4 linked regions of the Caenorhabditis elegans genome follow. The protein of the gene in region 3 purifies or fractionates together with the protein of the main gene of each other region. This does not show direct contact. Each region holds a gene or a part of one and is shown on either strand. Other genes may lie near its edges. The genes, in order: chd-3, let-418, lin-40 and blmp-1.

The links.
Region 1: the proteins of lin-40 (region 3) and chd-3 purify together in Caenorhabditis elegans (affinity purification with western blotting, with the first as the bait; one study listed by BioGRID). This does not show direct contact.
Region 2: the proteins of lin-40 (region 3) and let-418 purify together in Caenorhabditis elegans (affinity purification with western blotting, with the first as the bait; one study listed by BioGRID). This does not show direct contact.
Region 4: the proteins of lin-40 (region 3) and blmp-1 purify together in Caenorhabditis elegans (affinity purification with western blotting, with the first as the bait; one study listed by BioGRID). This does not show direct contact.

Annotation. Positions count from the first base shown.
Region 1 is NC_003284.9:12,846,601-12,854,133, forward strand, and holds the start of chd-3 (Chromodomain-helicase-DNA-binding protein 3 homolog), read right to left. Parts: upstream 6,002-7,533; 5' UTR 5,984-6,001; coding exon 5,648-5,983; intron 5,594-5,647; coding exon 4,571-5,593; intron 4,505-4,570; coding exon 4,073-4,504; intron 4,024-4,072; coding exon 3,371-4,023; intron 3,325-3,370; coding exon 1,995-3,324; intron 1,725-1,994; coding exon 454-1,724; intron 405-453; coding exon 160-404; intron 92-159; coding exon 18-91; 3' UTR 1-17. UniProt on the Caenorhabditis elegans protein: ATP-dependent chromatin-remodeling factor that has a role in notch signaling-dependent vulval cell fate determination. May also have a role in pharyngeal precursor cell specification.
Region 2 is NC_003283.11:5,824,956-5,832,859, forward strand, and holds let-418 (Protein let-418), read left to right. Parts: upstream 1-1,877; 5' UTR 1,878-1,905; coding exon 1,906-2,235; intron 2,236-2,304; coding exon 2,305-3,297; intron 3,298-3,345; coding exon 3,346-4,424; intron 4,425-4,475; coding exon 4,476-5,805; intron 5,806-5,876; coding exon 5,877-7,222; intron 7,223-7,273; coding exon 7,274-7,545; intron 7,546-7,599; coding exon 7,600-7,739; 3' UTR 7,740-7,876; downstream 7,877-7,904. UniProt on the Caenorhabditis elegans protein: Part of a NuRD (Nucleosome Remodeling and Deacetylase) complex which is implicated in the synMuv B pathway that negatively regulates specification of vulval cell fate.
Region 3 is NC_003283.11:3,703,354-3,708,007, forward strand, and holds the start of lin-40 (DIOX_N domain-containing protein), read left to right. Parts: upstream 1-1,641; 5' UTR 1,642-1,658; coding exon 1,659-1,787; intron 1,788-1,854; coding exon 1,855-1,963; intron 1,964-2,024; coding exon 2,025-4,042; intron 4,043-4,654.
Region 4 is NC_003279.8:10,407,362-10,415,290, reverse strand, and holds blmp-1 (B lymphocyte-induced maturation protein 1 homolog), read right to left. Parts: upstream 5,990-7,929; 5' UTR 5,933-5,989; coding exon 5,755-5,932; intron 5,422-5,754; coding exon 5,327-5,421; intron 5,066-5,326; coding exon 4,198-5,065; intron 3,688-4,197; coding exon 3,341-3,687; intron 2,959-3,340; coding exon 2,864-2,958; intron 2,814-2,863; coding exon 2,345-2,813; intron 1,930-2,344; coding exon 1,882-1,929; intron 1,799-1,881; coding exon 1,445-1,798; 3' UTR 518-1,444; downstream 1-517. UniProt on the Caenorhabditis elegans protein: Transcription factor which binds to enhancer elements in the promoter region of genes. Regulates the expression of the transcription factor bed-3 to control vulval development.

The sequences.
Region 1 (7,533 bases), on a different chromosome or scaffold from region 3:
GTTAAAATCCACGTGGCTTAATATCTCGGATAGGACGAACCAGCAGCTGCTGACGTTGAGGGAATATCCTTGTCAGATGTATCCATTGGCTCTGAAATCAATAAAATGTATTGCTAATTTTGTCATCTCAAACTTGAAGTTTGAACATTAGCCACTAACCATCCTTCGTTGCAGCAATTGATGATGCTCGGGATGCCTCGGCGACAGCTGCAGATATTGATCCTTCAATATCAATAGGTTCATCATCAGGCGACAAATTACAGTCAAATAGAGAAGGAAACTTTGGCTGGATAGTGGTGAAGTTTTGATTGAACAAAGGTGTGATGAATGGTCCGCTTGGTGGGAGTGCTGGCTTGCTTGGAGCAGCATCGGGATCCTTGGCGACTACTAAGCGCGATAGAATTCTGCAAAGAATAAAATTCCAGTTTTATATATTTCTCGTTAATCACTCACTGTCGTTCACTCATTTGAAGTCTTTCGGTGACTGGCCGAACTTGAGAGATTGTTGCTGGCAGTCTTGCAACGTCGGTTTTCAAGTCGGAAAGCAAATCATCGAGTTGGGCAAGGCACTTGTGAAGAATCGCGTTAGCATTTCTGTTTCCATTGTTGCTTTCTCTTGCAATATTGACGTGAGCATCAGCAGTGTGCTCCAGCTCCGAGAAATGCTGAGCCAATTGGCCAACTTGGTCAGGAGACTGTTGTTTGTTGATGTGAGCTGCACGACGAAGTTGTTCTTCAATGACCAGTGATTGCTCGAGAAGTTTGAAACGACGAGCCAAAAACTTGTTCTTCACGTCAGCAAAATTAGTGGCAGGATCTGCACCAGTTTGTTTGAATGGCTCATTTACAATCGAAAATTTCGGATCATTCATAATATCTTGGAAGTTAATTTGATAACGTCCGTAGCCATAGACTGCCACAGCTGCCAAAAGCCAGAAATCGTGCCGGCGATGCCAAATCTCATACTCTTTTCCATTGCGAGCCACCTTCTCTTCATTAATCCAAAGACTATGAAGCTCAGTGTATCCTCCATCGCAAATATTAAATTTGTATGGTAAACGAGGAGCTTTGGGTTCCTCCTCGACTTTCACTTCACTGGCAAGTTCTTCTGTTTTAGTTATATTGGACTGATCAACATCCATCGGAGTCTCATCAATATCAATTGGCTCTTCTTTGATCTTAATCATTCCAGGTAAATTCGAAACTGATGCTTGAGCTGCGGTGGCCAACATCTTTTCACGTGTCTCTGGCATTGACCATTCTCCATTGAATTTTTCAAACTCTTGCACTTTTTTGCGCAGAATCGACATCAAGCCGATACGACTCAGAACCGCTTGACGATTGAGACCTTCACGTGGAACACCATCCATAAAAGAGTCACTGTTATCCACAACCGGCTCACACAGATGGCGCATGAAGAGGGATGAGTACGCCTTGAACACTTTTTCCGATTTGTTCCTGAGATCTCGAACTTGCCATGATGATTGGGTGAGGTCTTGTGGTGGCATTCCCCAACGCATGACAGCATTGTAAAAGGCTTTTCGTTGACGTGGGTTGAATCCGAGAACCTCAATTTGGCCATTGACCTTGGCAAGGAGTGGTGGAAGCTTTTCGGATCGTTCCTCGCGACGTCGGCGCCTTTCCTCATAGTCTTCGTCAGTTTGGAGTAGTTCCCCATTGTCGGATCCGTATTCTGAGCCGTCATCTTCCTCTTGTTGTTGGTTCTAAAAATTTAAAAATCAAGAAAACAACTACATTGATCTTCCTTTATAAGCATTTCAATTATAAATTTAATAACATGCCCTCACTATTTTGGTTTTCAGAACTAATCAAAATTTGGTCAGCAAATATTTTTGTGGTTTCATGTGGCATGCGCTTTTTTATCAACAGAGCGTATTTGCCGCCGCAGTTGTGAGTGAGAGCTTGGCAGCAAAAAAACTACAAATATCGTTGGCTATCATTTATGGAAAAAAAAAGAAACTACAACAACTCACATTTTGAGCAGACCAGTCTTGTCCCATATTTTCACTGGCATAATTGACCTGGCGACGTACTCGCTTTCCTTTTCCCAACTTCTGTAGCTCAGTTTCTTGGTCTTGTTCATAATGATGCTTGAGCAACTTCTCCCAATAGTTTGGATCTTGCTCTTCCGTTCCCTCTTTGATGACTTCTGTCTCATCTTCATCATCATCTGCGTCGTCTGCTTCTTTCGTATTATAAGTGGCTACTTTGAAAGAGCTCAAATATTCATTAGTCCAATGTTCCTTCTTTTCACCGTCCTGACCTTCTTCCTCCTTGTTTCGGTCCAACAGGAAATCGACTGCAGCGTCATCCCAAACAATTTCTTGTTCGTTCGGCTTTTTAGAACTGGTTCCCTCTCCGTCTGCACCCTCAACTGGAGCTTCTTCTTCTTTGAAAAGCTCTTCGGTACCCCAACGTAGAACGTCGTCAAGTTCAGTTTTGCTCATGCTCTTCCCATCTTTAGCTCCCAGACCAGCACGGACTACCAAGTGAGTGAGAAGCATCTTTTTCTTGGCAACTGATGTGATTCTTTCTTCAACTGATCCTTTTGTGACAAAGCGGTAAATCATTACTTTGTGTTTCTGACCAAGACGGTGAGCACGTGAGAAAGCTTGGATATCATTGTGAGGATTCCAGTCAGAGTCATAAATGATGACAGTATCAGCAGTAGCCAAGTTGATACCCAATCCTCCAGCACGAGTAGAGAGCAAGAAGACAAACTGTTTCGCTCCCGGAGCATTATATCTATCGATTGCGTCTTGTCTCTGTTGACCAGTGATACTTCCATCAATACGTTCATACTTGTAACCTTCAACATCACAAAAGTCTTCAAGAATATCCAACATCATCGTCATCTGTGAAAAGATCAGCACGCGATGACCTCCATCCTTCAGCTTTCGCAACATTTTTTGCAGAAGGACAAATTTTCCGGCATTTTTGATAAGCGCACTTCCCTCGTACATTCCATTTTTAAGTTTTGGAGCTTCCAAACACGCTTTCATAAAGAGATACGGATGGTTGCAGCATTTTTTAAGTTCCATAATGATGTTGATCAACGACATCTGGGTTCCACCATTCTTCACATTCAACGCGTCAAAATTGCGAGTGAGAATGTTCTTGTAGTATTTCTTCTGCATCGCACTGAGCTCTACACGGACAATCAACTCTTGCTTGGATGGCATTCCAGTAAGGACGTCAGCTTTAAGACGACGAAGCATGTGTGGGCCGAGCAGGTTGTGAAGTTTCTCAATTTGATCTTCTTTGGAGATTTCGGAAAACTCTGCTGTGAAGCTTTCAAGCTGGCTGAAAAATTAACGATATAAAAAACCCTATCTAGTTAAAAACTTACTTAAAGCGGTCTGGTGCGAGGAAATTGAGAAGATGAAACAGCTCCTCTAAATTGTTTTGAAGTGGAGTTCCAGTGAGAAGCACACGGTACTGAATGTTGTATTCTCTGAGGTTTTTGAAGAATGTCGATTGATTATTTTTCAAACGATGAGCTTCATCAACGACTAGTGCAGCCCAGTCAATGGATGAAAGAATTGCCTTATCCATATTAATACATTCATATGAAGTGAGAAGAACGTGGAATTTCAAGTTTTCCAATGTCTTAATCTTGGAAACTTTTGGCCCTCCTCTGACGGCTCCATCCACAAATGAAAACTCATGCTCACGAATGACCATGCGCGATTCACGATCTCCAACATAGGTAACGACGTAGAAGTCTGGACACCAAAGCTCGGCTTCACGTTCCCAATTGATGATAGTAGACAGTGGAGCAGCAATGAGGAATGGCCCCTTGGTATGCCCTTCTTTCATGAGTGTGTACAGGAATGTCAGAGATTGGACGGTTTTTCCGAGACCCATTTCGTCGGCAAGAATGGCATCAGTTCCATTCGACCAACAATGTCGCAGCCAGTTGATTCCTTCCAATTGGTATGGATGAAGATTTCCCCCAGTTTCCGAAATAAAGTCTGGTTGCACTTCGTATTTTTTGAGGATCTGAAAAAAACGAAATGGTGAATTTTGAAAACTTATTTATTGAACTTACATCAATTTTTTCTCGTTTCTTTCTTCTCGAGGTGACTTCATCCTCCTTAGGTCCCAGTCCCTTAGCTTCACGCTGCTTAGCAATCATCTTCTGCACATTTCTAGGAACTTCGTCGTTCAGCATGCGTTCTCTGTGATGCCAATACTTGATGATCGCATCTTCATAGTTGGCAATATCCGTATCATCTCTTTCCCAGGTCGCGTGCTCATAAGATAGCTCCTTCCACTTGACTAGGTAGTCTTGTTGAGACTTTGCATATGACAAGTGATTGATAATACGATGAATTTGCATCCATTCAGGCTTAACACCATATTGGTAGAAACGCTCGCGTAGTTTGTATGGATCATGATCGGAATGATGGCGTGAGAGTGTAGACTCCTCGAAAATCGGTGGATTCTCGGAATCGACTTTCCGCCAGTACATGCGAACAAGCTGAAATAAATAATCATATTTAATAAACAAAAGTTTTTTTTTTAAATTTTCCTGACACAAACATACCGCTGTGAAGTAGACATCCATCAACGTCTCCGAAAGCCACTCGCACTGCCAGTAAGCCAAATACTTCCACTTGACAAAGAACTCCCGCTCTCGACGAGGCTCCATTTTGCGGGGAGGTTTAAGGAACACGTCGTCTTTGCTTGCTTCCTCTCCTTCTTTACATTCCAATGGCTCCGGATAGCTGATTTCCTTCCATCTCCAACTGAGAATCTTCTCAATTCTTTGAGCCGGCTCGGGAATAATGCAACGCGGACAGGACCATTCGCCTTCGGGAATTTCGGTAAGTGGAGGATCAATGCAATAGGCGTGATAAGAGCTTGGACAGGTGTCGCATAGAAGAATATTTGAGGTTTCTTTGCAAATTCGACAATAGTCCATGTTTGCCTTAGCTGGTTCTTCTTCAACTATCAAAACATCCGGACCGTGCTCTTCACAATGGGGACAGCTCCAATCTCCTTCTGGTGGCTGCTCCATGTTCTCATCAATGCATGCAACGTGGTATGCACGAGTACAAGTATCACAGAGCATAAGCTCGCCATCTTGATTGCAAACTTCACAGTTCTCTTGATGGTTTTCTTCCACCACTCCTTGCTCTTTACGTGCTCGTTTCGATGCTCGAGCCGATTCCAATGCGGCCTTACGTTTGTCCACTTTTGCTGCAGCCCGATTAATGCGAGCTTCTTCTTTCCCCTTCTCAGCTTCATCTTGTTGCTTTTCATGTTGTTTGATCAAGGCCTCAAACTCCTGATCACTGTCGTGACCGCCACCTTCACCATCTGATCCGTCACGACGCTTTCTGCGAGCAGAAGAACGAGTCTTCTGTGGAATGATCTTCTCTTGAGGTGTCACCGGAACGGGTACCGGAACAAACTTCGCTCTTTGTTGCTTTTGAATTGATTTGCCGTGTGCTGTCATGTGATCTTGAAATTCTTTGTATTTTACTTGAAATAGAGGGTACATCTTTGTGACGTTTGTGCCGGGATTCACTTTTAAAATGTATGGCTTGACAAGACTCGAAAAGTTCTGAAAATTTAAAGTTTTTGTTTAGGACAAGAAATCGTACATTAAAAAACTCACTTTCAAATTGGTAATCGACTGAAATTCCTCCTGCTCATAGTCCACATCAACGTCGGTCAATCCTATTGCTGCACTGATTTCTGCGCTTGTCGACTTATACGGATCCGGGTAATCACAGTTGTTTTTCTTTTTCGAAGATTTCTTTCCGCCCTTCTTCTTTTTTGGTGGTGGTTTTTTCTTCTCAGAAGTGGTCGGAACTCCCTGAGATTCTTCAGTTTCCACCTCCTCCTCATCTTCGCCGACATCTTCTTCTCCATCCTCATGACCTTCTGCTAGCATGGAATCCTCCTCCATTGTCTCATCACCGTCGATTGATTCGTGTTGATCGTCTGACATTGTTCTTTATGGGAATTACTGAAAGAAGTAATGTTATTAAATTCGTCTTTATATTTTTACGAGGAGAATAAGCGAAGAATAAGAAAACCAGAATTGAATGACCAAGCAACAAAATAACTGAGCCTATCTATTTTATGTACAAAGTTTACCGCCGAAATCCTAAATTTTATGCGGACTTAGCAATGGAGCGCAAATGCATAGTTCCAAAAAATACCAAATTTCCATCTTGAGAACGGTCTGTGGCTGTGAGTTGAATTACTTTGCCAAATATTTTGTGAGAGACCGGATTGATTTGTTGATTTTTTTTTTATTTTTAAAAGATTCAAAGATGCTCCACAAAAATTTTTTCTCATAGCGCAAGGATGATGACACAGTGTGAAAATAAGATTCAAGAAAACCCGTTTTTCGGATTTCAAAATTATCCAGACTAGTTGGAAGACATTAATGAAGACACACATTAAAAATCTGAATAAGGGGATTGTCCCGCCAGGGGTGTCTCATTGTGTCCCACTCGTTGCGTCATTGCGGGGACATCTAGTGTGAGGGTCAGAGACGCGCGCGCGCTGGCGTGTTTGTTTACTGCGAACTCGGTCAGATAAAAAAAAATGAGAGAAAGAGATATGCAACGAGACGAAGACATAACGGGCATAAAAGTTCGAAAGAAGCTCACGTTTGTTCAGAATAACTGATGAGCTTTGTGGAGAGAGGACGAAAACTGATAAGAAAGTCACAATTTATTTTGGAAAGTTTTAAATAGGACAAAGGTCGAATGATCGAATTTTTTATTCAAATTTTGAAACATGATACAGGATCTCAATGGCTAATAGGGAAAATCATGAAAACCATAGAAAATATGATGTAGTAGAGCAAGGAAATAAAATTTTTATCAAATACAAAATTGCAGTCTCGCAATGGAGAGAGGCGTCGAATGAAAAATCAATGTGGATTAAATGAGGCTGGAGCCGAAGCGAGCACGGACGAATATTTTCCGCAGATTAGCTAGAACGAGAGAAACCAGATGGGTGGAGTCTTCTCATCCGACGTGTCTCACACGAAAGATGGAGTGACCATGAGAGACCTAACCAACGATCGATAGGCACGAAGGACAGGTGTTTTAGGACGTGCGCATTGCACACAGCGGTACGAGTGCCCTTGTAAATGAAACTACGAATAGATAGGAACGCATTCGCAGCACTCTTTTTTTGGTAGTCTCATCCAGGTTCTGATCGAAGAGTGAATTAGAACGGTAGTCTTCAAAATTAGTGAAGGAAGCAAATTAATGCCGATCATTTTAAGCAGTTCGTCGATTTTGTCGATTTCGTCAATTTAATATTAAGTTTTTCAGATCCCTAAGCATAAAAACGGTAGAACCACTGTTAACAATAAACGTGCTACTCGATCGTGAAAAAATTGAATGTGTACTACGTACTACGCACGTATACAGAAAAAAAATACACAACGGAATGTGTATTGAGAGAGCCATCTTCAAACCACATTTTACAAAAATTTGAAACCATGTGAATATATATTTTATTGAATTTCTGAACTGA
Region 2 (7,904 bases), 2.1 Mb from region 3:
CACATGCCTGAAAATGATGTTGGTTATATTTCCTTTGTACAATTTGTTTTTGGGAACTTGGGGATCTTGCTTTAAAATATTCAGAATTAGTCGATTTCTGTAAAAGCCAAATTACCAAATTTGTGGTAAGTTGACAGATATATCATTTTAAAGTTTGGACATTTGAGTACTCTATTATGTCAACACAAAATTCTGAGAATGCGTATTTCACAACATATTTGAAAGTATCTCATAGCGAAAACTACAGTAACACTTTAACTGATTACTGTAGCTCTTATGGCGATTTACGGGCTCTATTTCAAATGCCTTGTGCAATACGCATTCTCAAAATTCTGTGTTCCCGTAATATCACTGTTTTCGAACATTATTTTCCAAATTACACTTTTACAATTTTGTAGAAAATCTAGCAGTTTGAGAAATTTTTTCAGAAGTTAAGATATAATTTCTAGAAGCTTATAATAGGGCGAATCTAAAGCGTTATACTGTTAATTCGAAATATTAAATGTTATTCAATCATTTAAAATTGCCACGTTTTCAGAAGGTCAAGGTAAATTTGTTTATCCTTGATTTAAACATTATGAACATTTTATTTCTTTTAAATTATTTTTAACTCGCATAAACACGTGTTTTGAACTTCTAGATCTTTTTCTTCACTGCCGTGCATCGATTTGAATCATTTTCCGCTTTTGCGCTTTCAAGGGAGGTCCATTTATGCGAATGGGTCTCGCCGCGCTAAGTGCATTGATTTTAAAATGTTGTGTGTGCGTCTTAACGTTTACTGTCCCGTTCTTTTTTTTTTAGCTTTTTCCCTGTTTTCTAAGGTTTTCCTAGTTTCTGAAAAGAATTTGTATATCTTTGTATAAGAATTTGTATATACATGCTGATTCAATTAAAAATTAGTAAAGTTCCGAAGAAGAAACCTATTTTCGGGAGCTATGCAGGTGCGCTCCATTGCCAGCAGATGCGTTTTGTTCAAATGTTTTCTTTTTCATTTTTTTTTGGCTCGCTTTTTGGATTCGCGTTTCCTCTCAATTTCCGCAATTTGATATTTCTAAGTATACAAGTATATTTCTAAAATCGTCATAAATATTTGCTCGTAATTTTCCCAATTTTAATTCAAAATTTTAATTCTATCAGGACGGTTCACAGTTTTTACCTGATTTGAATCCTGAAATAGATCTAATTTACTAGTTTTTTTTTTAATCCGTAATCCAACGTGTTTTTAATTTTCTGTGAACAACATAATTCTCAACTCAAATTAGTAAAGGGACATGCCACGTATTAATAATTTTCGTTGCGGGAAACACGACGCTGCATTTGGTCACTCTTACGCGCGAAGACGGGTCATTCGAATTTCCATCACTCTCCTCTCGTCTCTCTTTCTCTGACCACCGTCCCAACGAGCTGTGTCCCCGTTCTGCAATGTCCCCGCAGTGTCTCGTCAAATGGGACATATGGGGACATGAAATTGTCCCGTTTCGAATCAATATTTGTTTGAAATATGTTTTTGAATACGGCTATTTTTTCTAACTTTTCTTGTAATAATTGCATTTTCTCGATGGTAGATTTTAGAAAACTTGAAACGTAGGTTGTAAAATAAATTTTAAAAAATTTAAAATAGCTTGACGAGCTTAAATTTAAATTCCTACTTTAGGAATTTAATATTTTCAAAATTTTCTACGTTTTTTAGAAAAAATTAAGGCTTAATCTATCAGCCCAAAATTTACACTCAACTCTGTGTGTTATTTCGTCGCCGTGTTTGCAGACTTTTCACACTTTCAAATTTTGCTGATTTGCATTCGAGCTTTCTAATTTGTTCTCTTTATAATGTCCTTCTTGCAATTATTTATGTCTTACTTATATTAATCAATTTTCAGAAATTGTATTTCTCCTGAGAATTCAACAATGTCAACTGAAGAAGATCCGTCTTTAGTGGACGCGGAAGAATCAATGGAAGAGGGTTCTGTCACTCAAGACGCAACTGAAGAAACAGAAGAAGAGGAAGAACAAGAGCAAGGCGATGAGGCTGGACCATCTGAGCGAAAGCGTTCTTCTAGAAAGAAAGGCGGAAAGGGAGGCAAAAAAGGATCCAAAAAGAGTGCTGCCGCAGCTAGCAAGGTTGAGATTCCTGATCCGTATAATTCGACAAGTGAAGAAGTTTGTGCTGCTATCGGATTGACAGACGTCGAATTTGATTATGATGAAGAGGAGTTTCAAGGAATTTCTAATCTGAAGGTGATTATTCAAAATTTATTTTTTAAATCTCGATTTCTGTTTTCCTCCAATTAAACATCTTTTTTACAGACTTTCTCCTCAATCATCAAGCCACAAATACTGGAGGCAAACCCCGGAACCAACGTATCCAAGATGTACCCGATGTTCCAAGTCAAATATAAAGAGTATCAAGATCACATGGCTGCCCAAGGAAAACCTGTTCAAAAACAAGCTAGAGGTTCAAAGACTCCAGCAGTTTCCACACCCGTCATCCCTCCACGATCAGCTCCAACGAAGACTCGTTCTGCAAGGAGAAAGCGTCGAGATTCCGATGCTCCTGATAGTGATCAAGAGTTTGAGGCATTTATTAAGCAACAAGAACAACTGGAGGACGATTTGGTAAAAGACAAGGAAGATGCTCGTATCAAACGTGCAGCGGAAAGAGAAGAGAAGAAAAAAGGAGCATTGGAAGCTGCTCGTGCCGCTAAAAAAGCAAAATTAGAAAAGGGCGAAGAAGCTGAAAATAATGACTACTGTGAGGAGTGCAAGCAAGATGGAGAACTTCTTCTTTGTGACACCTGTCCCCGCGCTTACCATACAGTCTGTATTGATGAAAATATGGAAGAACCACCAGAGGGTGATTGGAGTTGTGCTCATTGTATCGAACATGGCCCAGAAGTAGTTAAAGAAGAACCGGCGAAGCAAAACGATGAATTCTGCAAGATCTGCAAAGAAACTGAGAATCTTCTGCTTTGTGATAGTTGTGTATGCTCATTCCACGCATATTGTATTGATCCTCCACTTACCGAAGTTCCGAAAGAAGAAACATGGTCGTGCCCACGGTGCGAGACGGTTAAGCCGGAACACAAAATCGAAAAAATCCTTTGCTGGAGATGGAAGGAAATCCCGTATCCAGAACCTCTCGAAGCTGGGAAAGAGGCTTCGAGTGACGATGCGATGCTCAAACCACCACGGAAAATGGAACCAAGACGTGAGCGTGAATTCTTCGTGAAATGGAAGTATTTATCATACTGGCAGTGTTCTTGGGTCTCCGAAATGCTGTTGGAAGTTCATTTCCGTATGGTGAGTTTTAAGTGATGAAGTCCATTTGACTAATGTTTATTTTTCCAGCTTATATTGCTATATTGGCGCAAAAATGATTCCGATGCTCCTCCAGAATTTGAAGAATCCGTTACGTCTCGTCATCATTCTGATAATGATCCTTATAAATTGCGCGAGCGGTTCTACCAGTATGGTATCAAACCGGAATGGATGCAAATTCATCGTATTATCAATCATCAATCATATGCAAAGTCGCAGCAGGATTACCTTGTTAAGTGGAAGGAGCTCAGCTATGATCAAGCCACTTGGGAACGAGATGATTCTAATATTGCCAATTACGAAGAAGCAATCATTAAATACTGGCAACATCGTGAGAGCAAATTAAATGAGGATATTCCTAAAAATGTGCAGAAGATGATTGCTAAACATCGCGAAGCTAAAGGTCTTCCTCCAAAAGAAGACGAAAAGAAAAAGAAGAAGCGTGAGAAGATTGACATCCGTAAAAAATATGAAGTTCAGCCCGACTACGTTACGGAAACCGGAGGAAAACTTCATCCATATCAACTGGAAGGACTTAACTGGCTTCGTCATTGTTGGTCCAACGGAACTGATGCGATTCTCGCTGATGAAATGGGTCTTGGGAAGACTGTTCAATCGCTTACTTTCTTATACAGTCTCATGAAGGAAGGCCATTGCAAAGGACCATTTTTGATTGCCGCTCCTCTATCAACTATTATCAATTGGGAGCGTGAGGCTGAACAATGGTGTCCTGATTTCTATGTGGTCACTTATGTTGGTCTTAGAGATGCTCGTGTTGTGCTCCGAGAACATGAGTTTTCTTTCGTTGAAGGTGCCGTTCGATCCGGACCGAAGGCTTCAAAAATGAAGACGACAGAGAATATGAAGTTCCACGTGTTGCTCACTTCTTATGAGACTATCAATATGGATAAAACTATACTTTCTTCCATTGAATGGGGAGCTCTTGTTGTTGATGAGGCTCATCGGTTAAAGAATAATCAGTCGTTGTTCTTCAAAAATCTCAATGAATATACTATTCATTATCGCGTACTTCTCACCGGAACTCCACTTCAAAACAATTTAGAAGAGCTCTTCCATCTCCTCAATTTCTTGTCCAAAGAACGTTTCAAGTAAGTTTCTGAATTTTTGTGTATTTTATTTTATTAATTGCATTTTTTCAGTCAGCTCGAGGCTTTCACTGCCGAATTCAATGAGATTTCCAAAGAGGATCAAATTGAAAAACTTCATAACTTGCTCGGACCTCACATGCTTCGCCGTCTCAAAGCTGATGTGTTGACTGGCATGCCATCGAAATCAGAATTAATTGTTCGAGTTGAACTGAGTGCTATGCAGAAAAAATGGTATAAAAATATTCTGACTCGCAATTTTGATGCATTGAATGTGAAGAATGGAGGAACTCAAATGTCATTGATGAACGTCCTTATGGAATTGAAGAAATGTTGTAATCATCCATATCTTTTTGTGAAGGCAGAGTTGGAGGCTCCGAAAGAGAAAAACGGAATGTATGAAGGAACGGCGCTCATCAAGAATTCCGGAAAGTTTGTTCTTCTTCAAAAAATGTTGAGAAAGCTGAAGGATGGTGGCCACCGAGTGCTTATCTTCTCACAAATGACAAGGATGCTGGACATAATGGAAGATTTATGTGAATATGAAGGATACAGATATGAAAGAATAGATGGAAGTATCATGGGACAAATGAGACAAGATGCTATCGATCGTTACAATGCTCCTGGAGCTCAACAATTTATTTTCTTGCTCTCCACTCGAGCTGGAGGTCTTGGTATCAATCTGGCAACTGCTGATACGGTTATCATATATGATTCTGATTGGAATCCTCACAATGATATTCAAGCTTTCTCTCGTGCACATCGTCTCGGACAGAAGCATAAAGTTATGATTTATCGTTTTGTAACAAAGAAATCTGTCGAAGAAAAAATCACTTCAGTTGCCAAGAAGAAGATGCTTTTGAATCACTTGGTTGTACGTGCAGGATTGGGAGGAAAAGAAGGAAAGACAATGAGCAAGACTGAGCTGGACGATGTGCTTCGATGGGGAACCGAAGAGTTATTCAGTGAGGATCTTGATGCTGCCGAAGGCGAAGGCTCGGAGAAGAAAGGTGCTGCCGCACAAGAAATTGTTTGGGATGATGCAGCTGTAGATGCTCTTCTCGATCGCAGTAACAAAGAAGAGACTCCAGCAGGAGAAGATGGCGAAGAAAAAGCTGAATGGCAAAACGAATATCTAAGCTCGTTCAAGGTGGCCAGCTATCAGACAAAAGAGACTGAAGGACAAGAAGAAGAGGAGGAAGAGGAAACGGAAGTGATTAAAGAAGATGAGAAAGAACCAGATCCAGATTATTGGGAGAAGCTGCTCAAGCATCACTACGAACAGGACAGGGAAATCGAATTGCAAAAGCTTGGAAAGGGAAAACGTGTTCGCAAACAAATCAACTATGCCAGTGAGAATATGGGAACTGATTGGAGCAAGCAGGTTTGTTTTTTTTCTGATTAATTGGGTTTTTCTGATTAATTTCTGATTAAACATTTAATGATTTTTTTCAGAACCAAACCCAAGATGATGACGATGATAACGAGTCGTACCGTGGTTCGGACAATGGCGACGGCCTGAACTCTGATGAAGATGATTACGATGAGAAGAAAAAGCGGCGTCGTGATGAAGAAAAAATGCCTCCACTCATGGCTAAAGTCAATGGACAAGTTGAGATTCTTGGTTTCAATCCACGTCAACGCAAGGCGTTCTACGGGGCTGTTATGCGCTGGGGAATGCCTCCACAAGATTCTCATCAATCTCAATGGCTTGTTCGAGATCTGAGAAACAAATCGGAAAAAGTCTTCCGAGCTTATGCTTCACTGTTCATGCGACATCTCTGTGAGCCTGGAGCTGATGGTCATGATACCTTTAATGATGGAGTTCCAAGAGAAGGTCTTAATCGTCAGCATGTTCTTGGCCGAATCGGATTGCTGAGTTTAGTTCGGCGGAAGGTTCAAGAATTTGAGCAATATAATGGCCAATGGTCTATGCCTGAAATACAAGACGAAGTTCTCGCTAAAGCTGCCAATGGTTCGGCACAAGGATCTTCAAGAAGTACTCCGAAACCAAAAGAAGAGCCGAAGGAAGAACCAATGGAAAAGGAAGATGCTACTGAAACAGTTAACGGAGCTACATCAGAGCCAGCTACAGATGCTGAGAGTGAACAAAACGCTCCTGTTGACGAACCAATGGATACAGATGAAGCCAAAGAACCGAAAGAAGAACCAATTGAAACCGAGAAACCAAGAGCAGCCCGTCCATCATTCAAGTTCAACATTTGTGACGGTGGATTCACTGAACTTCACTCTTTGTGGGCCAATGAAGAGAAAGTTGCAAGAAACGGAAAAGAATATGAAATCTGGTACCGCAGACACGACTATTGGCTTTTAGCTGGTGTTGTTGTACACGGATATGGACGTTTCCAAGCTAATTTCAATGACATCATCAATGATCCCAGATTCTCAGTTCTCAATGAGCCATTCAAGGAAGTTGGCGCTGAGGCAACAGGATCTGACATCAAAGCCAAGTTTATGCAACGTCGTTTCAAACTTATTGAACAGTCCCTTGTGATTGAGGAGCAACTTCGTCGCGCTGCACACGCCAATCGTCACTTGCAGCCGGATAATGTTGGACCATTGGCTCAACGTTTTGCGGATTTAGAGAATATTGCTGAATCTCAAGCTAATATCGCCAAAGAAAGTTCTGCTGGAAATCGTAATGCGAATGCCGTTCTACACAAAACATTGGTTCAGCTCGACGAAATACTTTCCGATATGAAGGCCGACGTGTCTAGACTTCCATCTACTTTTACACAGTTAGCGACTGTCACCGAACGTCTCAACATGACCGAGAGACAGTAAGTTTTAACTCGTAAAAGCTTCAGTCAATATATGTATATATATTTCAGAATTCTTTCGCGACTGACCACAAAAGACGAGGACGCGATAGCCAACCGTAGCGTACTTCCACCACCAGGACCATTTGTAACTCCAATACTTCGCCAGCAGATGGATGGCATTCAACCAAAGTTTGCAGCTCTTTACAGTAAATTCATGTCTGAAAATGGAGAAAGGATGGAAGAGGATGAACCAGTAGAGGCAGAAGAGGAAGAAGGTGTAAAACAAGAACCAGATGATGAGACTCAAGATAGCGCCGAAGCTCCGCCAGTTCTTAGTGCAGGTTAGTACTAATTCATATGGATCTTAAAATAACTCAATGTATTTCTATTTCCAGAAGTGAATTCCGACGATAGCAACGATGTTCCATCTACTTCCGCTGCTGCTGCTGTCAGTTCTGAAACAGCTGCCGACGCCGAACCAGCTTCCGCCGAAGATCAAGCTCCAACAGATGAGCCAGAACCAATGGAAACTTGAATGTCTTTTTAATTTTATTGGGTTTTACTGTATTTTTTCAAACTTTAAACCATTATATTATTTATTGTTCTCTTTTTAGTTGCATCAATTGAAATGCAATTCAAATAATTGCGTCATGAATCTGTGTAAACGTTTAATCCTGATCTTTTCGTCTTAACTTGTTCA
Region 3 (4,654 bases):
TTTTCTCGATCGTCCCGACTTACAAGCCTATTTTGCCCTTTTCAGCCTTGTAGGACTGTTTTGAACTGGATTTTTTCAATTGCATTTCAAAAAAATAGGAAAATCTGAAATTTTGCCGATTTTCTAGCATTTTTAGAATTTTTTGCTACGTTTTCAGTAAGTTTTTATGATTTTTACGTCAAAATTGGCAATTTAGCTGAAATTCATAAATTTCGGCATAAAAATCATAAAAAAACAACGGGAAATTTATCAAAAAATACGAAAAATTCCTGAAAATCGGCAAATTTCCGATTTTGCCGGCAAAATTTTTGATTCCAAGCGGTTTTAAATGGGTTCACTAAATTCTGAGAATGCTGCACAACACATTTGACGAGCAAAATATCTCGTAGCGAAAACTACAGTAATTCTTTAAATGACTACTGTGCGCGCTGGTGTCGATTTACGGGCTTGATTTTCGTAAATCGACACAAGCACTACAGTAGTAATTTAAAGGATTACTGTAGTTTTCTTTTTCGCTACGAGATATTTTGCGCGTCAAATATGTTGTGCAATATGCATTCACTAGAATTTTGTGTTCCCGTAATGGTACCTTTAATAAGTCGGGGGAGCATCCTTCCTGCAGCCTCTTCTCTCTTTTCTTTATATCTCTCGCTCTCTCACTCGTCTCCATTCTGCCCGTCCGTCTGCGTCTCCGTGGTCTCAGTACTATTTCCGACGCTTTAACCATTCTTCCGAGTGACCCCTCCCCACCTATGTCTTCGTCTCTCCCTCTGCTGCTGCTGCTGCTGGACGTTCCTCTTGTTTCTGCGTCTCTCCATGTCTCTCGTTGTCTGAATCTATCCTTTTTTCTAGTTGTCACGGCGATTTATCCGAAAGAGAAGGACCGTTTTCTGGATTTTTTTTGAAATTTAATTTAATTTTTAAAAAACTAATTAATTTCCAATTTTAAAAAATCTATTTTGTTCTTTTTCAAAAAAAATTTTAATAGCGCAAAAAATGCGGATAATTTTTAATTATTTTTTCACTTTTCAGATGATATCGATTTTGTGCACTCAAAAATTATTCGAATTTCTCTATTTTCCGCTTAAAGCTAAAAAATTTCAAAAAATTAATGCTTTTTTTACCGAATTTAGAGTTTTCGCACTGTCTCCTCATTTTTAGTATTTTGGTTATTATCCGGACGCGAAATATTGCGCTTTTTGCTCCAAAAATACGATACCGGGTCTCGACACGACAATTTTTTGTTAAATTCGAACAGGTGTGCGCCTTTAAAGAGTACTATAATTTCAAATTTTCGTTTCCCCGGAATTTCAATCGATTATTCCTAGTTTTTCTGAATTTGAACAAATCGGTGAGAAAGCCTTCGAAAAATCAATAAGAAAAATTCCGCAGAAACGAAAAGTTTGAAATTACAGTACTCTTTAAAGGCGCGCACTTTTTCGCACCACATTTAACAAAAAATTGTCGCTTCGAGACCATTTTTAAAGCAGAAATCGCGAAATTTTGTGCTTTTTGGGCGAAAATGGAGAAATTTAAATAATTTTGATAGCAAAATAAAAACATTTTTTTAATGTAATTTCTCGAATTTTCGACTTTTCGACTAATTCGACTTTTCCCCAAAAAATCCTCCAATTTTTGCAGAGCTTTAACGGGTCACGATGAGCTCATCATCGTTGTCGTCAACATCAACTCGAGTCACGTACGCCGTCGGCGATTTTGTCTATTTCGACGACACGTCGGCCACCGACGCTCCATATCAGATCCGCAAAATCGAGGAGCTTGTCAAGGTTAGATTAGTTGGCTGGAAAAAAAGCCCCAAAAGCCTGAAAAAGCCCAAAATTTCTCAATTTTCAGACAGAAAAGGGCGGCGTGGATGCGCGATGCGTCGTCTACCTCCGACGACGTGACATTCCACAACATTTGCTGAAAATTGCCGATCAAGCGCAGAGGCGATTCGATAATTGTGAGCTTTTCCCCAGCTTACTTTATTTGAAAATATTAAAATTCAATTCAATTTTTTTCAGATTACGAAGTGGATAAGAAGAAGCCCGAGAATTTTACCACAAAAGGATTTATCGTTGTCAATGGAGCTTCTGAAGCTGCTCCAGAAGCTGCTCCAGAAGCCACCGAAGCTTCTGCGGAGACGTCTGAAACAAAAGTGAAGGAAGATACTGATGACGTGGCAGAGAAAATGGAAGAGGACGAAGAATGCCCGGCCCCGGTTGGGCAGGGAAGAACCAGCTCGACTGAGGAGCCATCGGCGTCGGATGCTCCAGCAGCGACCGCAAAGGACAAAAAAGAAGAAAAAGAAGCCAAGGAAAACGCGAAAAACCTCAAGGAGACTGCCGAAGCAGAAGCCACGAAGCTCATTGACTGGGGTGATGGAGGCCTTCCGCTCGGAGTCGACAAGCTCACCCCGGATCAGAGGCTGAAGCTCCGACAGCATGAGATCTTTATGACGAGGCAATCGGAGATCCTTCCAGCAGCGGCGATTCGTGGAAAGTGTCGAGTCGTTCTTCTGGGAGATGGTGAAGAGGCTCAGAACTACCTGCCTCTGGATGATACCTTCTATCATTCCCTTGTCTATGACCCGAATGCGCAGACTTTGCTGGCTGATAAGGGTGCTATTAGGGTTGGCGAGAAGTATCAGGCGGTGGTGGATGAGTGGATGGAGCCCGCCGATCGGGAGGCGAAGGAGGCGAAGGTGCTGGCCGAGAAGGTTAAGAAGGAGGAAGAGGAGGCAAAGTTGAAGGCTGAAGCCGAGGAGGACACTGAGAATGATGGGTTGACGATCGCCGAGGATGAGGAGATGCCGGAGCTGAAGAATGAGGAAAAGGAAGAGACCAAGGTGGAAGAGGAAGCTACCACCACCGATTCCGAAGGTGAAGTAGGTGAAGTCCTCGTCTGGCACCCGCACCACGCTCTCACCGACCGTGACATTGATCAGTACATGATTGTGGCCCGATCAGTCGGCCTATTCGCCCGAGCCATCGATGGAGCTTCCGCGCCGAAGCTTCCGACTCTTCAGCTAGCCGCCGCCTTCGCCTCCCGTGACGTCACCATCTTCCACGCCCACGCGATCCTTCATCAGGCCAACTATGATGTCGGGCAGGCTGTCAAGTACCTGGTCCCAGTGGCCTCTCGAGACACGTACCCGTGCCAGGTCGATGATTCAAGCGGCCTGCAGACTAAGACCCTTGGCGGACCGATTTTGTGTCGGGATCAGCTGGAAGAGTGGTCGACGCCCGAGATGAATCTGTTCGAGGATGCGCTGGATAAGGTGGGCAAGGATTTCAATGAGATCCGCGCCGAGTACCTTCCGTGGAAGTCGATTCGGGACATTGTCGAGTACTATTACCTTATGAAGGCCTCCAATCGATACACAGATCGCAAGAAGAACAAGCCATCGGCGGGTGGTGGAAGCTCGACGACGACGGACGAGAAGTTCACCAACATCTACATTCCGCCGTTCAACAAGCCGATCGCCGCCTCGATTCTTCCGTACAACACTAGCCAGACGACGCTGATGAACAACGACAATCCGTGTGAGAATTGCGGGACGCTGGACGCTCTCAACTGGTATCAGTGGGGAGGTGTCGGCGATAAGAAGGTTCTGTGCTCGACGTGTTGGATTCAGTGGAAGAAGTTCGCCGGGCTCAATCAGAAGCACGAGCTCGAGCGGTTCGACAAGACGCGGCCGCCACCGGTGGAGCCGGTAGCGCCGACGCCAGCGGCCTCAAATGGAACTCCAGCTTCTCAGAAGGCGGCTGCCACGGCGGCGGTGAACACGTTGACTCCACAACAACAGCAGCAGCAGCGCGCTGCCGCCGCCAACATGCTCATGACGCTGAACAGTGGTGATAAGCAGAATTTGTTGAATGTGGCAAAGGAGGCGCTGGCACGTGGCCAAATCACCCAGGAGCAATTTCTACAGCTACAGAAGAATTTCGCTCAGAAAATCCAGGCACAAATTCAACAACAGATTCAGCAGCAGCAACAGCGGCAGGCGCAAACGACGCCGCAAGTGGTCGCAACGCCCAGGGTAAGGATTGGTTGAAAATTGCACGAAAAATCAAAAAAAAAAATTGAAAAACTCAATTTTGGCCAAATTCCCACCAAAATGAGCTACGACCAATAAATGATTCGCTCCGCCCATTTTTCAACCAATCAGCGTCGTCGAATACCGCACATTCCTATGATTGGTTGGAAAATGGGTGGAGCTAATCGCTGATTGGTCGCAGGTCTAATTTCGGAGGAAACTCGGCCAAAATGGTAAAAAGCTCAATTTAGGCTTAATTCTCTTCAAAATGAGAACTGCGACCAATCAGCGATTCGCTCCGCCCAATTTCAAACCAACCAGCGCCGCGCATTCCTCTGATTGGTTGAAAAATGGGCGGAGCTAATCGCTGATTGGTCGCAGGTCTTATTTTGGAGGAAACTCGGCCAAAATGGTAAAAAGCTCAATATAGGCCTAATTCTCTTCAAAATGAGAACTGCGACCAATCAGCGATTCGCTCCGCCCAATTTCAAACCAACCAGCGCCGCACATTCCTCTGATTGGTTGAAAAATGGGCGGAGCTAATCGCTGATTGGTCGTAACTCTCATTATATAGAAAACTGAGCCAAAATCTTTAAAAAACTGCATTTTTTTCGT
Region 4 (7,929 bases), on a different chromosome or scaffold from region 3:
GAAATTTTCAATTTCGACAAATTCGGCACTTTGCCGGTTTGCCGATTTGCCGGAAATTTCAATTTCGGCAAATCGGGAAATTTCAATTCCGGCAAGCTGTCGGTTTGCCGATTTGCCGGAAGTTTCAATTCCGGCAAATCGGGAAATTTCAATTCCGGCAAGTTGCCGGTTTGCCGATTTGCCGGAAATTTTCAATTACGGCAAATCGGGAAATTTCAATTCCGGCAAGTTGCCGGTTTGCCGATTTGCCGGAAATTTTCAATTACGGCAAATCGGGAAATTTCAATTCCGTCAATTTGCCGATTTGCCGGAAATTTCAATTCTGGCAACTTACCGATTTGCCGATTTGCTGGAAATTTTCAATTTCGACAAATTCGGCACTTTGCCGGTTTGCCGATTTGCCGGAAATTTCAATTGTGGCAACTTACCGATTTGCCGTTTTTCCGGCAAATTTGGCACCTCACCGGTTTGCCGATTTGCCGGAAATTTTCGAGAAAATTAGTATGTATGTAATCCTATCAAGTTTTCAAAGTTTATATATATACATACAAAATTAGACAAGATATTGTTTTGAAAAAGTTAGAAAATAGAAACAACTTCTAGAAAGAAATTGCAAAAATATAATGAAAGTATGATCACAGATAGGTGTGTTGAAATGCCGGAAGATTTTGATGGAAATTGTTGAATAAAAAATAGAAAATTTTGACAGTGATAAGAATGAAAGGGGACTGATAAAGCAAGAGACAATGAGAGAATGAAAAGATAATATAGGTTTAGGCGGTGTATATGGAAGATTTCAAAAAAATAATTATATTAAATCTGATAATTTTGAGAAACGAACTATTTGAACTTTAACTCAGGTTCTTTGTGGAATTATTTGAATTTGAAGTTTTTGAATACAATTAATATTATGAGAGACTCGTTCTGGAATGGGAGGATGGAGAAAGGGGCAGGAAGGTGTAAGAACAATTTGAGATTTTGCGAAAAAAATTGATCTAATTGTTTTCTACCTGGCTTATAAACAAACTGGTAAAAGGGATCTGAAAATATTTGAGTAGCATAGTAAAAAATGAAAATGCTAAGATGCTGGAGAAGCAAGCAGGGGCTCTTGTGTAGGTATAAAATGCCTACACGCCTGCCTACAGGCACTCCAAAAACTGCTAATTTTGGTTAAATTATTTTTTCAATAAAAAATTAATGTTAAAATATAGAAAAATATCCGGATATAGAAATAAAATGAATTTTCGAACTTAACAAACATCTTTCTATATCTACATTCTCACATTAACTTTTTTCAGATGAAATTTGCGTTATTCTACCAAAATAGGCAGTGCTGTGAGGCACGCAGTGGAGGCATTAATTCCTACACAGAAGCTCAAGTACAAATGATATGACTGGATTGTGGGAGACGGGTAGTGTTTTCATAAAGTTATAAATATGATAATTATGGATAATGCGGCAATCCGAGGCTTGGAAGTAGGGGATTTTTCAAATCAGGAAGCCTATGAATCCCATTATGTTGTGGATGTTGCTGTTGACCAGATCCAGATGATGGACCTCCTTGAATAAGTTGATGTTGATGTGGAATACCTCCTCCATTCTGCATTCCACTATGATCCATTTGGAAATGTTGTGGAGGTGGTGGTGGCCCCTGAAGATGGGATCCTTGTCCCATATGTCCCATTGTGTTTCCATACATCATGTGTTGCTGCTGTTGAGATGTTGGTGGTGGAGCCTGTTGTTCTTGCATTCCACTTGGACCTTGACCGAGGAGGGAGGCGTTGGGAAGATTGTATTTCTGAAAATTGTAGGATGAGAATGGGAAAGTGAGATAAGAAATATTTATTTGTATGCATGATGAAGCCGAATATAAAAGCTTACACTATAAATGGTTTCGATTGGCATAAGTGGCCGCTTGAGTTCGGAGTTCTGAAAGCAGTGAAAATGTAAGCAGAAGCAAAGCTGTTGTTAGTAATTTACTTGATTTCTTCTAAAGCTCGAAAACTAAAACTCGAGCAAAAAAATTTATTCACGACCGTATTTCTTCTATTAGTCTTGCGCCCACTTACTCTACTTTGACATCTCATATCTCGGTCCACTAAAGATATTTTTCCAAATGTTTCACAAATTCAATATTTTCTCAGTTAGAAATTTTTCGATAAAACCATAGGCAACTAAGATATGAACTTACAAAGTTAGGAAAAGTGGGTCAATACTATTAGAGGAAACGTTGTCGACTTAAACTTGGACAGTATTAAAAATTTGATCAACTTTTTAAAACTTAGTTTCCATTTTGTAAAAAACGGCGGAACATGTATAACTCGATATAATCTTCATTACTTACCAGTGTATTTTCAAAGATTCCCAGATTTCCATAACCCGACCCTGACATTGATCCTTCATCGATTTCGCCTTTGATATCCATTAAATCATCCCTCATCGAGTCTTTCATATCCTCTTCTTTACATGTAGTTGTTTTCCAATGAGTTCTCAATCCACTCGGTGAAATATATTTCTTTCCACATGTTCCACAACTATACGGTCTTTCGTTTGCATGCAGACGTTTATGAAGTCTTAGATGAACGTATTGAGTGAACTTGGCATCACAAACATCACACGTATACGGCTTCTGACCATTGTGAAGTCGAAGATGAGTTTTTAAATTAGAAGTCGACGAGAATCGCTTATCACAAATATCACAGCGATGAGGACGTTCTCCGGTATGAACAAGATGATGCTTCTGAAGATGAGCAAGCTGTGTGAACTCTTTTGTGCAAATTTCACATTTGAATGGACGTTCGCCGGTGTGCGTTCTGAAATGTTGAAAGTAAAAAAATAATTGGAAAATAAGAAAAGTTCTAACCTGACATGAACTTTAAGATTCGAAAGCTGTCCGAATGTTTTGTTGCAGTCTTTGCAAGCGTATCTCGTTTTTCCATTTTCCTGTTGTTGCACGTACTGAAAAATTTTAATTTAAATTTATTTTCATGTAGAAAATATGAAAAGGAATAACTAGACATTTTACCAGGTCTAGGCGTGTGAATCGCCCTCCTTGCGCCCTGATTTGAAAAAGATTTACAAAAAAGCACCCGGTAATCAATTGATTTATGTATCAAAACTTTGCTAATTTTATTGGGATCAACATAGAAAAGGTAGAGATAAAAGGTAGAGATAAATAGAGGCAGGGTCAAAAATTATAAAAAATATATAATTTAAAAAAATTAAAAAATCTAGTATTAAACATTTAAATATCAACTGTTTTTTAAAAAGAATGTTTCAAAATATTTTCCCATCAACCATCAAGTTCAACAAATTAAAAATCTTCTTTGGTAAAACTTACATTTGGAACTCCATTAAATGATGAATCATTGTGTGATGAAGACGAATGATTAACAAATGGAAGTTGATGAAATGAAGAAGTATGGGCACTTCCACCCATTCCAAATCCTCCACCCATACCACCACCACCTCCGAATGCTGGAGACGCAGATGTGTACAGAGGTTTTGATAGCTCATGCTGGAAATCTTGACTCCCATAAATTGCTGCATAGTTTCCAAAATGAGCTCCTGCAGTTGCTGCAAGTACTGGCTGCACATCAATCGGCTGGCCGGATCTTCCACCAGTGGCAGTTATTGCGGCTGTTGTTTGAGCAACAGGGGACACAAACATTGAGGTATCAACTAGTTCTGAAATAGGGTTCAATTGTTTTCAGGACTTTTTAGGACGCCCCAGTTTGTTTTTAACTTAGCAGTTAACAGTAAGCTATAAAATTATGAATAAACATACAACATGTATTTTGAAAACTTTTCCGTTGATAAAACCACATCCGCACGGGATAAAAGCTGCCGAAAATCCGAAAACAGGTAGATCACTAATTAAAAAGTATAGTAAAGCATAAACAATTTGATAATTTAATTGATTGAGGAAACAATTTTAACAAACTGAAAATATTGTTAAACTTAAGTTGATGTGTTAAAAACAAAAAAAAAGTATACAAATGTATCTTGTTTGTCGACAGAAGCTTAATCCCCATCAAGGACATATGGCGTTTTTAGCTGTTTCTGATAAGTTTTGTTAACAAAATGTTAAGCAACTTTTTGCATCTCCAGTGAAAAAAACTTCAAAAAAAAGTGTTACATTTTCAAAATTTTCAATTTCAGCTTATCAGAGATTCAGAGTGGGATTAATAAACTCACTTAATTGAAGGGATTTCCTCATGAACTCTTTAAAATCCACCAACGGACTTGCATAAAAATTGCCAAGTCGAACGGGTATTCCCGGGAAATTATTGACTTTGGTTGCAACAGGCCTCACAACTGGATTCTGGATAACATTAGGCCGTGTGACTTCTGCAACAGGCCGTGTACAGCTCTCCTGCTCTTCAACATCAATCATTTCTTCGTCACTTGCAGAAGAAGCATCAGTAGAGAGTGTATCAATGGGTGATTCAATGAGTTTTTTAACTGAATAATCAATTGCCACAATTGTTTCTGCTAAACTCGCAATTGCAGTTGATGCAGAAGCTGGTGGTGCAGATGGAATCAGTTGAGTAGCTGGCCTTCGAACTCTTACGTATGGTCTTGTTGAATAATTTAATTTCCTTGCGTAGTCCCTGCTGAACCAAAATGATAATTCAGTATTTGCTTCAATCTTTTTAACTGTGTAAAAGTAGATATCATTTCCAATTTGTGCAGCAACAAGATTCTGAAAATCTTCCTCTTCAGCAGCTGCCACGTATTTCATCCAATTTGATCTCGCATCATCTTTCACACAAATCGTTTTATTCAATCTGCCACCTGATGGAGAATAGATCTTCCACTCTTCCGGAGCTTCATCAAATGGAACATCTTCTTGAGCTGGACCACCTCCAGCCATTGATGCTTCAGCAGGACATACAAGTGCTGTGTCAACATCTACCAAACGAATTTCTCCAACGAGCGGGCCAAATCGGACTCCTCTCGGAATATGATCAGATGACCATATTGACGATTTCTTTCGATTTTTTGAGGAGGACTTGAGAATTAGGTTCATAGGAAGTGTGCATTCTGCTCGCTTTGGATTTGGCTGAAAATAAATGGAATTAAAATTGAAATGGTTTTTTTCGATGTATATTAACTTTCTCATACTATTTTTGTAGTCCTGGCAAAAAAACGGTCGGCAAAAAAGCAACTTTTTAGTGCACATCTCAAACTTTCTATGGAACGTTTTGAACTTTCCAAATTTCTAGAGAACTTTTTGTTCCAAAACCATTTTTTTAGAGAAATATACATGTAGGCAGGCAGGCTCGGTTTTTAAAACTTTATAGACTATAAAATACGAACTCACCAAACTAACAGATTTGTCTGGAACATGAAATATACATAATTCGGCAAGATTCTCATCTCCCGACTGCTTCCAATCAGTTTCAACGTTTCTCGCACCTGAAATTAAAATGTTCATTGTATAAAATGACAGCTTCACAGTTTTTTCTTTCGGTTTAAATTTTGAAGTGATTGTTTTTTTTGTTTTCACTTTCATTTGTTCTTTTTTATATGGTGTCCACGTCTAGTTCAAGAGGGAAAAGAACATTTTGATGATAAGTGATAGCGCGGCGATGATAAGCTTGGCGGCATTGAAATTTGATAAGAAATCCGAAAAGGAAAAAAAAGAAGTGGAGGGAAGAAAAACGAATTTGGCTGATTCGATTTCTTCGCAAATGTAGATCACGGATGGCTGCCAAGGGGGCCGAGTTACAGTATCCTATCACAACTTACCTGACGCTGAAACTCCGGCAGGTGACGTGGATGATGGCGGTGTGGAAGATGATGACGTGGCAGATGAAGCAGAAGAAACGCCGACAGAAAGGGGAGAATGAGGTGGTGAGTGAGCTGCCGCAGCAGCCGAAGAGAACGGTGCCGGCGGAACACCGTCATCCCCACTTCCTTGACCCATTTTTTACAGGTTTTGTTTAAAATGAGATCGAAGGAAAAGAGAAGAGAGATTTATTTTCTGAAATTGAAAACATGATTCTGGTAAAATAAAAATAATTTTTGGCAAAAAGAAAGACAAATTAAAAGTGAACCAATTCAAATAAAAGTTTCAAAACAAGAGCGAGAGAGTAATAGAGCACGGAGAGGGAAAAGGCGAGGGCGAGAATCAGGAAAACGGCGCCGAAATTGTCAAAAAGACCTTGATAAGGAAGAACTCGAAGAATTGGGGTGAAATAGCTGGGTGACCGAGGAGAGTGCAGAGTTAAGAAGAGCAAAAAGGGAAAGTTGGTGATTACGGTAGGTGGGTTAGATGATGGGAGGTTGTGCAATAATAGATTAATGTTTTTTTTAAAGGAGGAACTTATTAAGGCGTCCGGGATGTGCGCCTGCCTACCTATCTTCAATACTGCCTACTGAAAAAGTCAACAAGAACTGAACGAAAACCTAAATTACAGAATATAAGAGGTAGACAGGCATAAGTCAGGCGTCAACGTCTCAAGAAAAATCTGAAGAGGCAGTAGTTCAATAGCTCAATTTTTTTCAATTCCAAGTTAATTTCAGAGTTGAGCTTCTGAATTGAAACTTTTTTAAGATGTCAAGGGAATACGGTATGCATATTGTCGATCCAACAAGTAACCTCGTTGCTCAACTTTCGCGGCTTATATCTCGGTTCTCTTTAGTTGTATCAAAAAACTGTCAACTATAAAAACATTTGCGGACTAATTTTCAATATTTCTGCAGTTGTGCAATTTCGGATATCTAAACAAAAAACCAAGATATTAGCTGAAAAGGTGAGCAGTCCGATTTAATACTAATATAGGGAATACCCTTAAAGACGGACTATGACTTGTGGGGATTTTGCATCAAATTGCTTTAGATACTCCCAATAATTCGTATTAAACAATAAAAACTAAAACAATTGGCTAAGTTTGAAAAAACTTAATTTTTTAATTTCAAGCCTACGGGAGTTGCTCAGGAATATGTGCCGGAGAACTGAAAACCAAACAAGTTCATTTGAAGATTGTTTTAATATTTCAGAAAAATTCAAGCTTGTTCACATAATTTTTGTTCATAAACCTCGAAAATTCCCATCACCGCGGGCACAAATTCCAGAGCTTGTATAAAAAACCTAAATTGGCAACTTTCAAAAAAAGTGACGGGTGAGAAAAAAAAGTTAAAAGTTTAGAAGAAAAAGAGCGAGGCGGGGTCAGATCTGTTTGTCTTTTTCATTTGAAACACGTGTGATTCAGAATTCAGAAAAGGAGCCGACAACTTTCAAACAAAAAAATGTGGGGATTTGGGAAAAGAATACGGTAGCTTGGCAAATATGAAATCAAATTTGAAATGTACTAAAAAAATTGTAAAGGAAGATCGTTCATAAAAAGGAGGAGATGAATAATAAGAGTTTGTACAAAAGGGGGAAAAGCGAGAAAATAGCTGCTGCTACTACTGTTGGATGGGACGAATTGGAAGCAAAGAGAGTGAGAGAATGGATTACGGTAGAAAAGGATAATAAATAGTATTGAAATTTCAGAGATGCAGAGTCACGGTCAGTCATGACGCCGCCCGAGAATTGTCGCTCGCGCGCGCGCAACGACCATTCATCCATGGATTCGGATTCGACGGTGGTCTTCTTCTCTTCCGAAGAGTGTGAGGTATGGCTGTACACAGCAAAGAGAGATCACTGATTGAAGAGAGGATCAGAGAATCAGAGAAAGGGACCGGTTTCCCCCCATTTGTTCGCGCACTCTCTTGCATAATGGACGCTGCTGGACGACGACGACGACGACACAGAGAGGCTTCTTCTTCCCCTTGAACCTGTTCTTGCATATCGGGCCTGTAGAGATCCGCCAAAGTGATTCGAGGAGAGGATCGTCTCTTTTAGCCAATGTTTGTTGGAAGAAGGAGAAAAGAAGGGAACGCGCCGTCGGAGAGGGGGCAAAAGCTTTTGGTTTCTTT